Macaca mulatta: one gene and its partners. The protein of the gene in region 3 interacts with the protein of the main gene of each other region in a pairwise test. Links are inferred from orthologs where the notes say so. Each region holds a gene or a part of one and is shown on either strand. Other genes may lie near its edges.

The links.
Region 1: the proteins of TAX1BP1 (region 3) and PLEKHN1 interact in binary tests that used the Homo sapiens proteins (3 or more experiments, as listed by UniProt). The two-hybrid records come from large-scale screens. The link is inferred for Macaca mulatta from reciprocal best matches to the Homo sapiens genes TAX1BP1 and PLEKHN1.
Region 2: the proteins of TAX1BP1 (region 3) and CXXC1 interact in binary tests that used the Homo sapiens proteins (3 or more experiments, as listed by UniProt). The two-hybrid records come from large-scale screens. The link is inferred for Macaca mulatta from reciprocal best matches to the Homo sapiens genes TAX1BP1 and CXXC1.

The regions. Positions count from the first base shown.
Region 1 is NC_133406.1:239,720,841-239,724,822, forward strand, and holds the start of PLEKHN1 (pleckstrin homology domain-containing family N member 1), read right to left. Parts: upstream 2,801-3,982; 5' UTR 2,723-2,800; coding exon 2,640-2,722; intron 2,556-2,639; coding exon 2,456-2,555; intron 1-2,455. UniProt on the Homo sapiens protein: Controls the stability of the leptin mRNA harboring an AU-rich element (ARE) in its 3' UTR, in cooperation with the RNA stabilizer ELAVL1.
Region 2 is NC_133423.1:42,016,644-42,020,740, forward strand, and holds the start of CXXC1 (CXXC-type zinc finger protein 1), read left to right. Parts: upstream 1-1,297; 5' UTR 1,298-1,468; coding exon 1,469-1,471; intron 1,472-1,550; exon of another isoform or gene 1,551-1,633; coding exon of another isoform or gene 1,634-1,636; intron 1,637-2,172; coding exon 2,173-2,291; intron 2,292-2,391; coding exon 2,392-2,492; intron 2,493-2,777; coding exon 2,778-3,013; intron 3,014-3,106; coding exon 3,107-3,286; intron 3,287-3,681; coding exon 3,682-3,708; intron 3,709-3,785; coding exon 3,786-4,031; intron 4,032-4,097. UniProt on the Homo sapiens protein: Transcriptional activator that exhibits a unique DNA binding specificity for CpG unmethylated motifs with a preference for CpGG.
Region 3 is NC_133408.1:100,601,378-100,605,330, reverse strand, and holds the start of TAX1BP1 (tax1-binding protein 1), read left to right. Parts: upstream 1-1,153; 5' UTR 1,154-1,298; intron 1,299-3,953.

The sequences.
Region 1 (3,982 bases), on a different chromosome or scaffold from region 3:
TGCACACACTCATGTGCGTGCATACACACACACACACAGACACACTTCCCCACACAGAGCTGCCTGGTCTAGTGGTAGAGATGGTGAGATTTGAACTCAGTGGATTAAATCCTATCTTCATTATTTCCTAAGCTGTGTAACATGTCTTTGGTTATTCAACCTCTGAAGACTTGTTAGAAGAATTTGGGGGTGTCTGGGTAACACTCAAAACCCTCCCACGTCTCCAGTATTGGCTGGTAAACGTTTAACACCTGGTTCTACAAAAAACAGACACAGAAACACACCAATGCCCTGATTTGTAACGTTTGTCAATTTCCTCAGTGTCAATGTTCTCAGCGCCGCCCATTTCCAGCCCCCAGCCTGAAAGATGTGAGGAGATTTCCGGGGTCGATCCCCTGAGTGTGTGCTGGCCACTTGCTTAGGTGACAGCCGGGTCCTGGCAGTGCCCCGAGGGGTCAGACCCCCGCTCTCCGGCCACTGCATGTGCTCTTCCCGCTTTGGGGACCGCTCAGTCCCCACCCCCTTCCTTACCCGCTTTGCAGCTTTGCTCAGACATCACCTGCTCCAAGAGGTCCTTTTCTGAAAGCCCCTCTAAAATTCCAGCCTTCCCTGATCCTCTGCACCCATCCCCGCTGTTTTTCTCCTTAGCACCAACCCCACCCTTCTCACTGGATCTTCTATTTATTTGCCCCATCGTCTGGGAGTGGGAGCACCGTGAGAACAGGGGTTGTCTATTCCGTTCAGTTCTGTGTCCCCAGAGCCTAAGGCAGGGCCTGGGATGTGCTGTGGGTATCACTGCATGTGCTGAGAGGGGAGAGGAATCCACATCCATGCCACACTTAGCCAATCCTGGCACAGTCCTCTACAAATGCAGGCTTTGATCACCAGGCTAGAGATCAGAAAGGGGACGGGTGTGAACCTGGGGCTGGAGAGCTCTGTGATCCACAGGCTCAGGGGCAAGTGGGAAGGTGTCCTGTTCCCTCTAGGAGCTGGCAAGGGCTACCAGCAGTGCTGCTGTGTCCTGGCCAAGCTTAGCTGCCCCTGAGCAGGCCCAGGAATGTGAACAGACAGACGCATAGGCTTTCCCGGCCTCCCGCCTCTGGGTGGGGCCTCCTGTACCCACACCCAGCGTGGGAACTGATGCCGGGTAGGCACCTATGAAAAATAGGCCACAGACCAGGAAGGGCCACACAGCTAGCCCTGCAGCCCAGCTCAGCCTCGGGGCCCCAGGGAGGACTCAGCCTGGAGCCGGCAGAGCCAGCTCACAGCACTGGGTGCAGAGCCCAGGCACAGGGCAGAGGAGCACTGGCTCCAGGACTGGCCCCGAGCTCCTCCCCCAGCCCCATTTCCTGAGGCTCAGCGGGTTCCCTCTCTGGCTACCATGTCCTGGCAAGGGAGGACCACTAGGGCCACCCACCACACCTCATAGGGCCCTACCAGGGTCCCACTGCATGTCCTGGGCCTGGACAGAGAGAGTAGCGTCTGAGATGCAGCCAAAGGGACCCCACCCCTAGGCCAGCCTGGCCCCCTCTGCCTGCCCACTCCTCTGAGGCAGTGTGGTTTCCAAAACCAGCACCTGTTGTCTGCAGGGAACCCTGAAACTCTGCAGGTCAGGAGAGGGTATGGCACGAGCCTCCTGCCTGGCGGGGGCATGTTGGCAACGGGGTCTGCACGGCCACGCCAGCTGCTGGACCTAGGAGTGCAGGGCAGGGGTCCTCTCCCCCAGACGCTCCTAGGGCCTGCACATAGCATCCAGCCTGCCTGACAGGGGTGCCGTGGGGGTTCCTCCTCCTGTTCCCTCAACCCAGCACCAGGCACATCTGAAAGGGGCTGGGCATCTACCCTGTGAAGACCCTTAGTCCTACGGGGGCCTGGGCGGGGGGATGGGCATGGGGGTTCTTCTGCTCCTTCCACGACGGAGAGGTGGCCTAGTGTGTGCTCGGGAGATGCCTCCTTGCTGCGTGGCCTTGGCAGGCTGGGAGGAGGCCCTGCGTGCACAGAGGGGTTGCTGTGGACAGGGCGGCGGTACCCAGCAGCAGCTTCCTGCGGGACACCCCGTCAGAAACAGGCCGCGGGTAGGTGGCCGGCTGGCTCACTGCGCACCTGAAGCCCCTTACTGTCAAGTGACACGACCAGCACGACCCCAGCCCCACTGCAGCGACAGAGACGCGTGCGCCGGTCCCCTGCGGGAGGAGGTCCCGGGAGGCCCCGCCCGCGGCCCGCCCCGCCCAGCTCGCTCCCGACTGACTCAGTCCTGCGTCGCGGTTTCGCTCTCCGCTCAGACTTTCGGCCCGATGAGCTCCCCAGGGCGGGGCAGTCAGCATCCGCTCCTCACCTAAGGGGGTCTGAATCCCCCCGGGCCGAGGGGAAGACCCTGAACTGCAAGGACACGCGGCACACACGCGCGGGCAGAGCCACGCTCCCAGACCCCAGCCACCGCGTGCGCCGCGCTCACCGTGCCCGGGATGTAGTGGAAGAGCTTGTTGGCGGCGGCGTCCCCGCTTCCAGCAGCCTCGGGGCCCAGCAGGCCAGCCGGCATCCGTGCGCCGTCCTCTCTGGGGACAAGGCAAGGGAGCTCGTGGCCCCGGAGCGGGTGGGGGAGCCCCGTGCCCAGGTGGCCACACCCACACCCCGCTCACCTGTTTCCCTTCAATGAGGGCTTTCTGGAGAAGGAGGCCCGGAGCCTCCTGGGGGCCTGAGGGACACAGTGGCTGTTCCCCATGGCCAGAGTCGTGCAGGTCGGCAAGTCTGGGTCCCTGTCCACAGCCTCCTGCCCCCGCCTCCCACAGGCAGGCGGGGCTCTGGGACGTCCCGCCCGTCACCCAGGGCTGGGCGGGGGTGGAGCCATTCTGGAAGAGGCCTCGCCCCTACCTGAGCCATCCAGGTCTCTGCCCTGGGCCCTCCACACCGAGGGGCCAGCCTTGGGGCGATCTCCCCTCTGGCCCAGACAAGGCCTCCAGTGTGCAAGGGGCACCCCACTTGCCTGTGCTCAGGCTTTGTGAAATCGGGGCCACCTTCCAGCACCCCCCCAACAATGTGCACACACATCCTGTTTCCATCTAAACCCTGGCCGGCCTGAGTCACCGGTGACTGCAGGGAGGGCTGAGGCAGGAATTCCAGCGTAGGAGACAGTGCCCAGAGCCACCCCAGCCTCCCCTCCTGCCTGGGCTCCCTCACCAGACCCATCAGGGTCCTCAAGGCTTAAGGGGACTCTGGAAGGCCACGTGCCACCTAGGCGGCCAGGACAGTCAGCATACGCAGGGGCAGTGCTGTCCTCCCCCGCCGCACCCCCAGAGCCCAAGACGTGGCGGGGACCTCAGCCTCAGGACCCAGCTCAGGCAAACCCCACCTACAGTGGGAGAGACTCCATGGCCCCCACCCTCCCTGGATGCACAGCTCTGCCTTGTAGCCCCCAGACACCGGTGCAGCATCTCAGGCCACCCGCCCACGCCCCTCACCCTGGACCCCCAGATAGGACCCAAAGTTGCGCAGCTGCCCCACAAGCCAGAGAGATGCTCAGCCTGGGAAGCCCCAGAAATGTGTTTATTGTTCAAGTTGGGATTGTATTGCTGTGTGGGGCCCGAGTGCACACGTGTGCACCCACTACAAGATCCAGGGAAGACGGCACAAAGCAGACGATGACAGGAAGGACACCTGCTCCCCACCCTTCCCGGGACCCCGCCGTGTACAAAATTCGAGCTGGGGTCTGCAGCTGCTTGGAAAGCCCCAGGGCCTCTGGCTCCGCGGCCTGCAGGGTCTGAGCAGGCAATGGCCCTGGGGCAGCGAGGCCCCGACCTGGTCACTCCCGGCTGCCCGCCATGCAGGCAGTGGAGGGGAGGACGGGCGGCCGCAGCACTGCTCACCCCTCAATAAATAAGATAAATAACTAAATAAATAAACAACTAAATATAGACACGAAGGAATGGACGCAGAGACGTGAACAGAAGATGCAAGATGTCCCTGGTGGGGGCCACGGCCCCCT
Region 2 (4,097 bases), on a different chromosome or scaffold from region 3:
TCCAGGCAAGTTCCTATTGTGTTTTAGTTTTGGTTTGTTTGTTTTCCTTTTTGCAAGTTTGCGAGGAGTCCTTAGAATGGCTTCCAGGCGGAGCGGGCGCGGTGGTTCACGCCTGTAATCCCAGCACTTTGGAGGGCCAAGGCTGGCGAATCACCTTAAGTCGGGAGATCCAGACCATCCTGGCCAACACGGTGAAAGCCCGTCTTTACTAAAAATACAAAAAATTAGCCGGGCGTGGTAGCGCAAGCCTGTAATCCCAGCTACTCGGAAGGCTGAGGCAGGATAATAGGTTGAATCCGGGAGGCAGAGGTTGTAGTGAGCCGAGATCGCGCCATTGCACTCCAGCCTGGGCAACAAAAGCGAAACTCCGTCTCAAAAAATGAGTAAATAAATAAATAAAAATTAGAAAGAATGGCTTCCAGGCTCCATTTTACAGCTGTTAACCAGAGTGACACCGTTTTGTATATCACATTTCACAAGAGATAATCAGGTATGAGCATACAGATCTATGTTTAAGAATGTTCGTTGCAACTTTATTTAGAATAATATTTGAAAATGTTCTAAATGCTAAACAATAAATCAATGTAAACTGTGCTTAGGCTTATTGTGCAGCTTATATAACTAAAATAAGATTTGATATTAGTTTAACAATTGTTTTTAAATAAAAATAAAATAAATAGAAGCCGAACCGTGCCAGGCCTGGCAGAAGAATGACAAGTGGGAGGAGTGAGAGCCGGAAAGAGTGGTGGCAGGTGAAGTCGGAGACGACAGAGGAACTGGTTTCCTCCGCCCCGCAAGGCACACAGCCTGCCGACACCCCATCAATACATGTGGAAGGGGAAAGAGACAGAATGGAGGAATGAATACAACTTGATCCAGGTAGCGTTTCGGGAGCGGCCGCTTTACCTGTGAACCTCTCTGCCTGACAAGCTGCCAATATACGGTATCAACCACCAAGATGGCGGCGCCCTTGAGGAATCCGCAAATAGGTCGCCGCCATGTGTCGCCAAGGAACGTACGAATTCGACCCTCGTACGGAATCAGATTCCAAGATGACGGCATCTATGAGGAAGTCACGCAGTAGGTGCAGCCATGTTGCCTGTACGTCCAGGCCGTACTAGCAGCCGCCGTACGGACTCTACTGACAAGGTGGCGACGCCCTCGGGAAAGCCACAATTGAGCGCTGCCATGTTCCCGGCGAACGTGTGGATTCGGCCACCATACGGATACGATAATCAAGATGGCGGCGCCTGAGGGTTCTTCGGGGGCTCTAGGCGAGCGACCTACTGGTTTGCGGCGGAGACGACGCACGGGGCTTGCGCAATAGGAGTACGCTGCCTGGGAGGCGTGACCAGAAGCGGAAGTAGTTGTGGGCGCCTTTGCAACCGCCTGGGACGCCGCCGAGTGGTCTGTGCAGGTTCGCGGGTTGCTGGCGGGGGTCGCGAGGGAGTGCGCCGGGAGCGGAGATATGGTGAGTACCGGGTTCAGGGAGGGGTTCGGCGGTGGAGGTTGGTGGGGTTGGCAACAGTGGGGTCTGTCGGCCGACTCAGGGGTCTGTGGTGAGCCGTAACCGGAGTCTGTGGACTGAACGGCGGGAGTCTGTGGGCAGAATGATGAACCATCTGGGAGTTCTATGGTGAGCCACGGTGGGGGAGTCCTTAATAGAAGTTTAGTGGGGACTCCGGGTGGCAGTTCCGTGGGAAACCGTGATCGGGGATTGTGAGGAGTCACACTGGGTGGTCTGTAGTGAGCCGTGACGAGGAGTTCGTGTCCGGGGATCCGTGGACAGCCGCGACTGGGGGTGGGTGCGGGTGCCAGGTGGGTCTATGAGGTAAACAGGGAGGGGTGCGTAGAGACCGCGATGGGAAGTCCGCAGTGAATTACGCGGGGTCTGTGAGGGCGCCACGATGAAGGATCGCGATGGCCCATTAGCGAGTGTGGACGCAGGGAGCGGGTGTCGGTGGGTGCGTGATGGGAAGTATGGAGCAAAGTAATAGGATGTCAGGGGAAGGGATGGAGGTCAGTGGGGACTGTGATGGAGAGGTTTTTGGGGGGCCCCGATGTGAAATCTGCAGGCAGAGTGGGGATCCCTGCTGACCATGGTGGAGCTGTAATGGGATAAGCCGCCACGGTGGGGGCTGTTTAAGGATCCGTAATGGGGGTATCCCGCAGGAGGGAGATGGTTCAGACCCAGAACCTCCAGATGCTGGGGAGGACAGCAAGTCGGAGAATGGAGAGAATGCGCCCATCTACTGCATCTGTCGCAAACCGGACATCAACTGCTTCATGATGTGAGCCCGGGAGAGGTGGGCGGGGCAGACACTAGCAGGGTGGGGTGAGGCCGATGGGCCGCGCCCCTCACATCTCCACCGCCTGCCCCATCCTCCGCAGCGGGTGTGACAACTGCAATGAGTGGTTCCATGGGGACTGCATCCGGATCACTGAGAAGATGGCCAAGGCCATCCGGGAGTGGTACTGCCGGGAGTGCAGAGGTGAGGGCCATGGATGGACAGGGAAGGCAGGTGGGGCTTCAAGGGAGGAGGAGGAGCCATAATGGGGGGTCATGGGGAGTAGTGATACACGTCTGTGGTGAGCTGGAATGGGGTCTCCATTGTGAGTGGTAATAGAAGATTCCACGGGAAGAGGCAGCTCTGCCCTGGACAGGGGTGCAGAGTAGGTGGGTGGGATAGTAAGGGAGAGAAGAGGAAGAAAGAGGTTTTGGGACCGTTCAGGCCCTCCAGTGCTCACTCACTTTGGCCCTACTCTCTGCCCCACAGAGAAAGACCCCAAACTAGAGATTCGCTATCGGCACAAGAAGTCACGGGAGCGGGATGGCAATGAGCGGGACGGCAGTGAGCCCCGGGATGAGGGTGGAGGGCGCAAGAGGCCTGTCCCCGATCCAGACCTGCAGCGCCGGGCAGGGTCAGGGACAGGGGTTGGGGCCATGCTTGCTCGGGGCTCTGCTTCGCCCCACAAATCCTCGCCGCAGCCCTTGGTGGCCACACCCAGCCAGGTGAGTGGCTGCATAAAGTGAGTAGATGTGTAAAGTGGTTCCGTTTCAGCCCTGCCTGGGTCCATAATTTCTGTTCTGGGCCCCCTCCTCCAGCATCACCAGCAGCAGCAGCAGCAGATCAAACGGTCAGCCCGCATGTGTGGTGAGTGTGAGGCATGTCGGCGCACTGAGGACTGTGGTCACTGTGACTTCTGTCGGGACATGAAGAAGTTTGGGGGCCCCAACAAGATCCGGCAGAAGTGCCGGCTGCGCCAGTGCCAGCTGCGGGCCCGGGTGAGCATGGACAGAGCTGGGTAGGGTCAGGTATGGGAGAGCTGGTGGGTCCATGCATGGTTAGTGTAGTCTAGGCATGGCTAAGCCAGGTGGGATTGGGCCTGACTGTATCTAGACAGGTGGGAAGGGACCTGTCATGTCCAAATGAATGGGGCATGAGCTGGTATGCTGGGCTGGCAGAACCCCCACCAACCCTGGGTGGACAGAGTGGGGTCAGGTGTTTCCAGTTGGTCATGCACGTCAGTACAGATAAGACAGGGGCGAGCATTCCTGGTAGTAAGGGGTAGTGGGGAGGTGTGTCTGGGGAGGTAAGGCCAGGCCAGGTGGGTGGGGCTAGGGCAAGGCCGCCCTCCATCCACCTGGGGCTGACCTGGGCCTTCCTCCTGCCGGCACAGGAATCGTACAAGTACTTCCCTTCCTCGGTGAGTCCAGCTCCCCAGGGTGGGGCGGGGCATGCGGGCAGGGCGGTCAGGGCCAGTCCTGAGATTCTGCCCCGCAGCTCTCACCAGTGACGCCCTCAGAGTCCCTGCCAAGGCCCCGCCGGCCACTGCCCACCCAACAGCAGCCACAGCCATCACAGAAGTTAGGGCGCATCCGTGAAGATGAGGGAGCAGTGGCATCATCAGCAGTCAAGGAGCCTCCTGAGGCTACAGCCACGCCTGAGCCACTCTCAGATGAGGACCTACCTCTGGATCCTGACCTGTATCAGGACTTCTGTGCAGGGGCCTTTGATGACCACGGCCTGGTGAGCAGATAGGAGCATCCCCTGGTGGAAGGGTGGAGGTTACAGAAGCAGAGAGTATCCGTAATG
Region 3 (3,953 bases):
TTATTTCTACTACCAGAAGGCTGCTACCAGTAACGCGAGTGATAACTTAAGTTGATTATTCACACCGTTTTCTTCATCCATAAAATAAGGAGACTGGGACTAAATGACCTGTTAAGGTTCTTCTGAAATTCTATGATCAAGTATACTACCCAGCACAAGATCAAGTTAAAAAATGTCAATACATAGGAAAGAAATCAGTCTGTAAATACTGAGAACCTGTATTATCAAAGCTAATGTCTTCTGAAATAACTGGAAGTAAAGATGAAAGTATATGAAAGATAATTTTGAATGTTCTGTATTTAGAATGTGCTTCAACATTTAACGCGATCTAATTTACGTACCTTTCAGGTGCTATTGCAAGTTTTATCAGGGTTTTATGGCAACAGACGAATATGATGAATTCGAATGGGACACACTGGCTTCTGTGAAGTTAGGATTCAAACTGAATGTCTAATATAGGAAGGCAATACATACAAAAGGCAAAAGTGATTTTAGAAATAACAGAACGCGGGACAAAATTCACACACGGAAAATGATATGGCTAACAAAAGCCGGTAACTCACAAAAATGCGGGTAGAAAAGAGGCCTCTCTGCTGGAGCGAGAACAAATAGAATCAGACGGCATTAGAACTGAAAGGCTCCTAGGAGCTTTCAGTGAACAAAACTTCGTAGTCAAAAAAGCACAGGACTGGGCCAGGAGTTGAGAGACAATCCTGGAGTTTAGGTGTTTGCAGCCCTAGCCGTGTGGTAACTCCCTTGCTTCTCTGGCTATTTCCTTATCTATAAAATCGGTGGGTTAGTTTAGGCCGACTGAGACGCAGGCAGGGACACGGTACTGTTCATGGACCTCTGAGCTGCCCTTTCCACATCGCGGTTGAGTTACTTAAATCTCTGGTGTGTTTCCCCATTTCGTATGTCAAAATAATAACATACAATCAGAATGTAAATCCAGACGCATTGTTTTTCTGCGATTAACTTGCTGAGCGAAAATGGCAAAGACGAACGAAGGAGAGAACCATTCGGCCTGCGAGAGGAGGCACGCCTGGGTCCAGCTTCGCGTCCCGCGGCGCAGTAGGCTGGGGGCGTGTCGTCGCGGAGCGGCGGGGCGAACCCTCCAGGAGGCGGAAGAGACCGCCCCGTGGGCGGAAGTGACGCAAGGCCTACTGTCGGCTGTGAGGGTAGGTGTAGCCGGTCTTTGGGGGTAGGCGGTGGTGGCGGAAGAGGTTCAGCGGCTGATGGCGGATCAGGATCGGAAGCCTGTGTAACTTTCTCCCTTGGTCCGGGAGTCTTTCCACTGGGTAAGGCGCCTCCCCGGTCCACCCCAGCACCTTGTGCGGGTCGGACCCCAGCTGCATCTCTTTTAGGGCTCGTGCTACACCCCTCTGCCCCTGTACTGTAGGGGCCTGGCCGGTCTCGGGAGAGGTCTCAGTGGTGACGAGGCTTTCCTTCCCGAGAACAAACCTTCCCTTCCGGACTGCGATTGTGACGGGGGTGTGGGCGACTCGGATCAGCCGTAGAGTTTTGGAATAGCAACGGGTGGCCGCCCCACGCGGAGGGAGGCCCGCGGGACAGGTCTTCGCGATTTGGGGGAGGCGTGTGGGACGGGTGCCCTTTGGCTGGGGACGAGTGACGCTGGCGACCCCCGAAGGAAAAGCTTCTGGTGTCCAAGGCTCAACTCTGGGATGACTGTTTTGAGGTCCCTGTGGGTGTTACCGGCGCAGTAAGCTGAGAAAACACGTAGGTCGCGTCCGAGAAGGACGCTGGGGTTTGCCTCTGCGGAGAGAAACCCAGCTGTTTTGGTTTGAGTCGCCGGTGGCGAAGGGGGCGGAGACTCCCTGCGCCGCCTACTTTTGAGGGCCGCGGGCGGAGTTGGCTGTTCCGGCTGATCTCCTGCTTCACCTGGAATCCTTTCCCCACCCCGCCCCAACACACCCCGCAGGTTCGCGAGGTGTGAACTAGTCCCGACCGACCTGCATTCCTCGCTTAGAGAATCTGTGGCTAGAGTTTAGTGTGCGCGTGTACACCTTATTAGTAAAAAATAGAGCTTAGCATGCGTTTGTGTGGGTGTGTGTACACACCTTATTGGTAAAAGTTTTGTTGGACAACACTGGCATATGACTTTAGACGTACAGTGTTAGATTTCCGATTTCACACAGTGGTTATGAATTGCTATTATGTCAGGCTTTAGATGGGAAAATCTTAATTGTTCAACTGTCTGCATTCTGCTGATGTTAAAATTTCTACGTGCTGTGCACGAACAATTACTAGTTACAAGTTTGGTGCTTAATTCCAAAAGGATTTAAAGAGATCATTTGAATAGAAACTAAAAGTGGGTTGATTGTCCTCAGTGCTTTTCGGGTTTAGAGAAGGAGCTGAGGACAGCCTTTCTCCTTCGTTCTGTTCTTTTCAAGGGTAAACTTGAAGTATTGTTTGATGATGCCGACTTCTAATAAAGTTTTATTTATTTTTCAAGCTGTTCAACTTCAAAGAACATCTTACTGTATTTTTTGTTTTATAGCCATCACGTTCTTTTTTTTTTTTTTTCCTTGAGACGGAGTCTTGCTCTGTCTCCCAGGCTGGAGTGCAGTGGCACGATCTCGGCTCACTGCAACCTCCGCCTCCCAGGTTCAAGCGATTCTCCTGCCTCAGCCTCCTGGGTAGCTGCGATTACAGGCGCGCGCCACCACGCCCGGCTAATTTTTGTATTTTTAGTAGAGACGGGGTTTCTCCATGTTGGTTAGGCTAGGGTCGAACTCCTGACCTCCTGATCTGCCCGCCTCGGCCTCCCAAAGTGCTGGGATTACAGGCGTGAGCCACTGCGACTGGCGCATCAAGTTCTTAAATTGTAGACCGCTGTTTGTAGTTCTCACTGCAGCGATGTTTGTAGAATTAACCAGTAAATATCTTTTCCATAACAAAAGTAAAATTTTGGAATTCAGAGTTTCAACCTTTTTAATGATGTTGAAATAATTATGGAAGATCCTAACGATGCTCCTTGTATACTTCTTTTGGGGACTTTATTGTATTCTTTTGGAATGGATATGTAAAATCTGGGCTTTATGCATTTCTGTCTTTTTAAAGCTTATTTTGTCCCAAATAAACCTTCAGAAGAAGATAAAAATGTCCTCTCCCCTAATATATGTGGGCCAAGATCATAGCATTTTAGAAACCAACTTATAAAATCTAAGAAGTAAGTAAAAGTGGTGCGGGTGACACCTGAGCGGAATGTCTTGGCACTCAGGTGTAAAGGATTCTGGAACTAGGGATGCCTGCAATGGTGCAAGTTAATAGACTGGGGCCTTTGCTTTTGCCTCCTAGAAAAATTGCTGATTACATTTTTTTGGAAGCAGAGGTCTGTTGATAGTTGTTAAGTTTTTCTTTCTTTGAGCCACAGTGTGAATAATTGGAAACTGTTTGAATGTTGGACATTTTTTGCTTTCATATGTTTGCGTGTCCTGTCGGACTGAAGTTTGGAGATAATTCTAAAGGTTTTTTAGCTGAGGATGTGAAAAACTTTCGGTAACTCTGTCAACCATTACCTGAATTATAACACTTCTAAAGATACAAACTGTTCATATTCTAAAATGCAGTGTTTCTGCTGCAGTAGGTCTTATGTGGAGTGTTACTAATCTGTTTCATTTCTTTATTTGCTTTGGTTTTCCTATTACGGAAATTTTCAAACATACACAAAGGAGAATGAACAGTAAAATGAACTGACACTTTACTAATCTTGTTTTATTACCCCTCTAACATTTATTTTTTTCCCCTGGAGTTTTTAAAGCAAATCTTAGACATCAAGACGTTTCATTTACAGTTAGTTTAGCATCTTTAACTGATAAGGACTTTAGAAAAACACAGAATTGCCATAATTATATTATCACACATAACAAAATTATTTTTGAATTCTAATTGTTAGGACTGGCAAATTATATTTAATATTTATCTAAATTAAA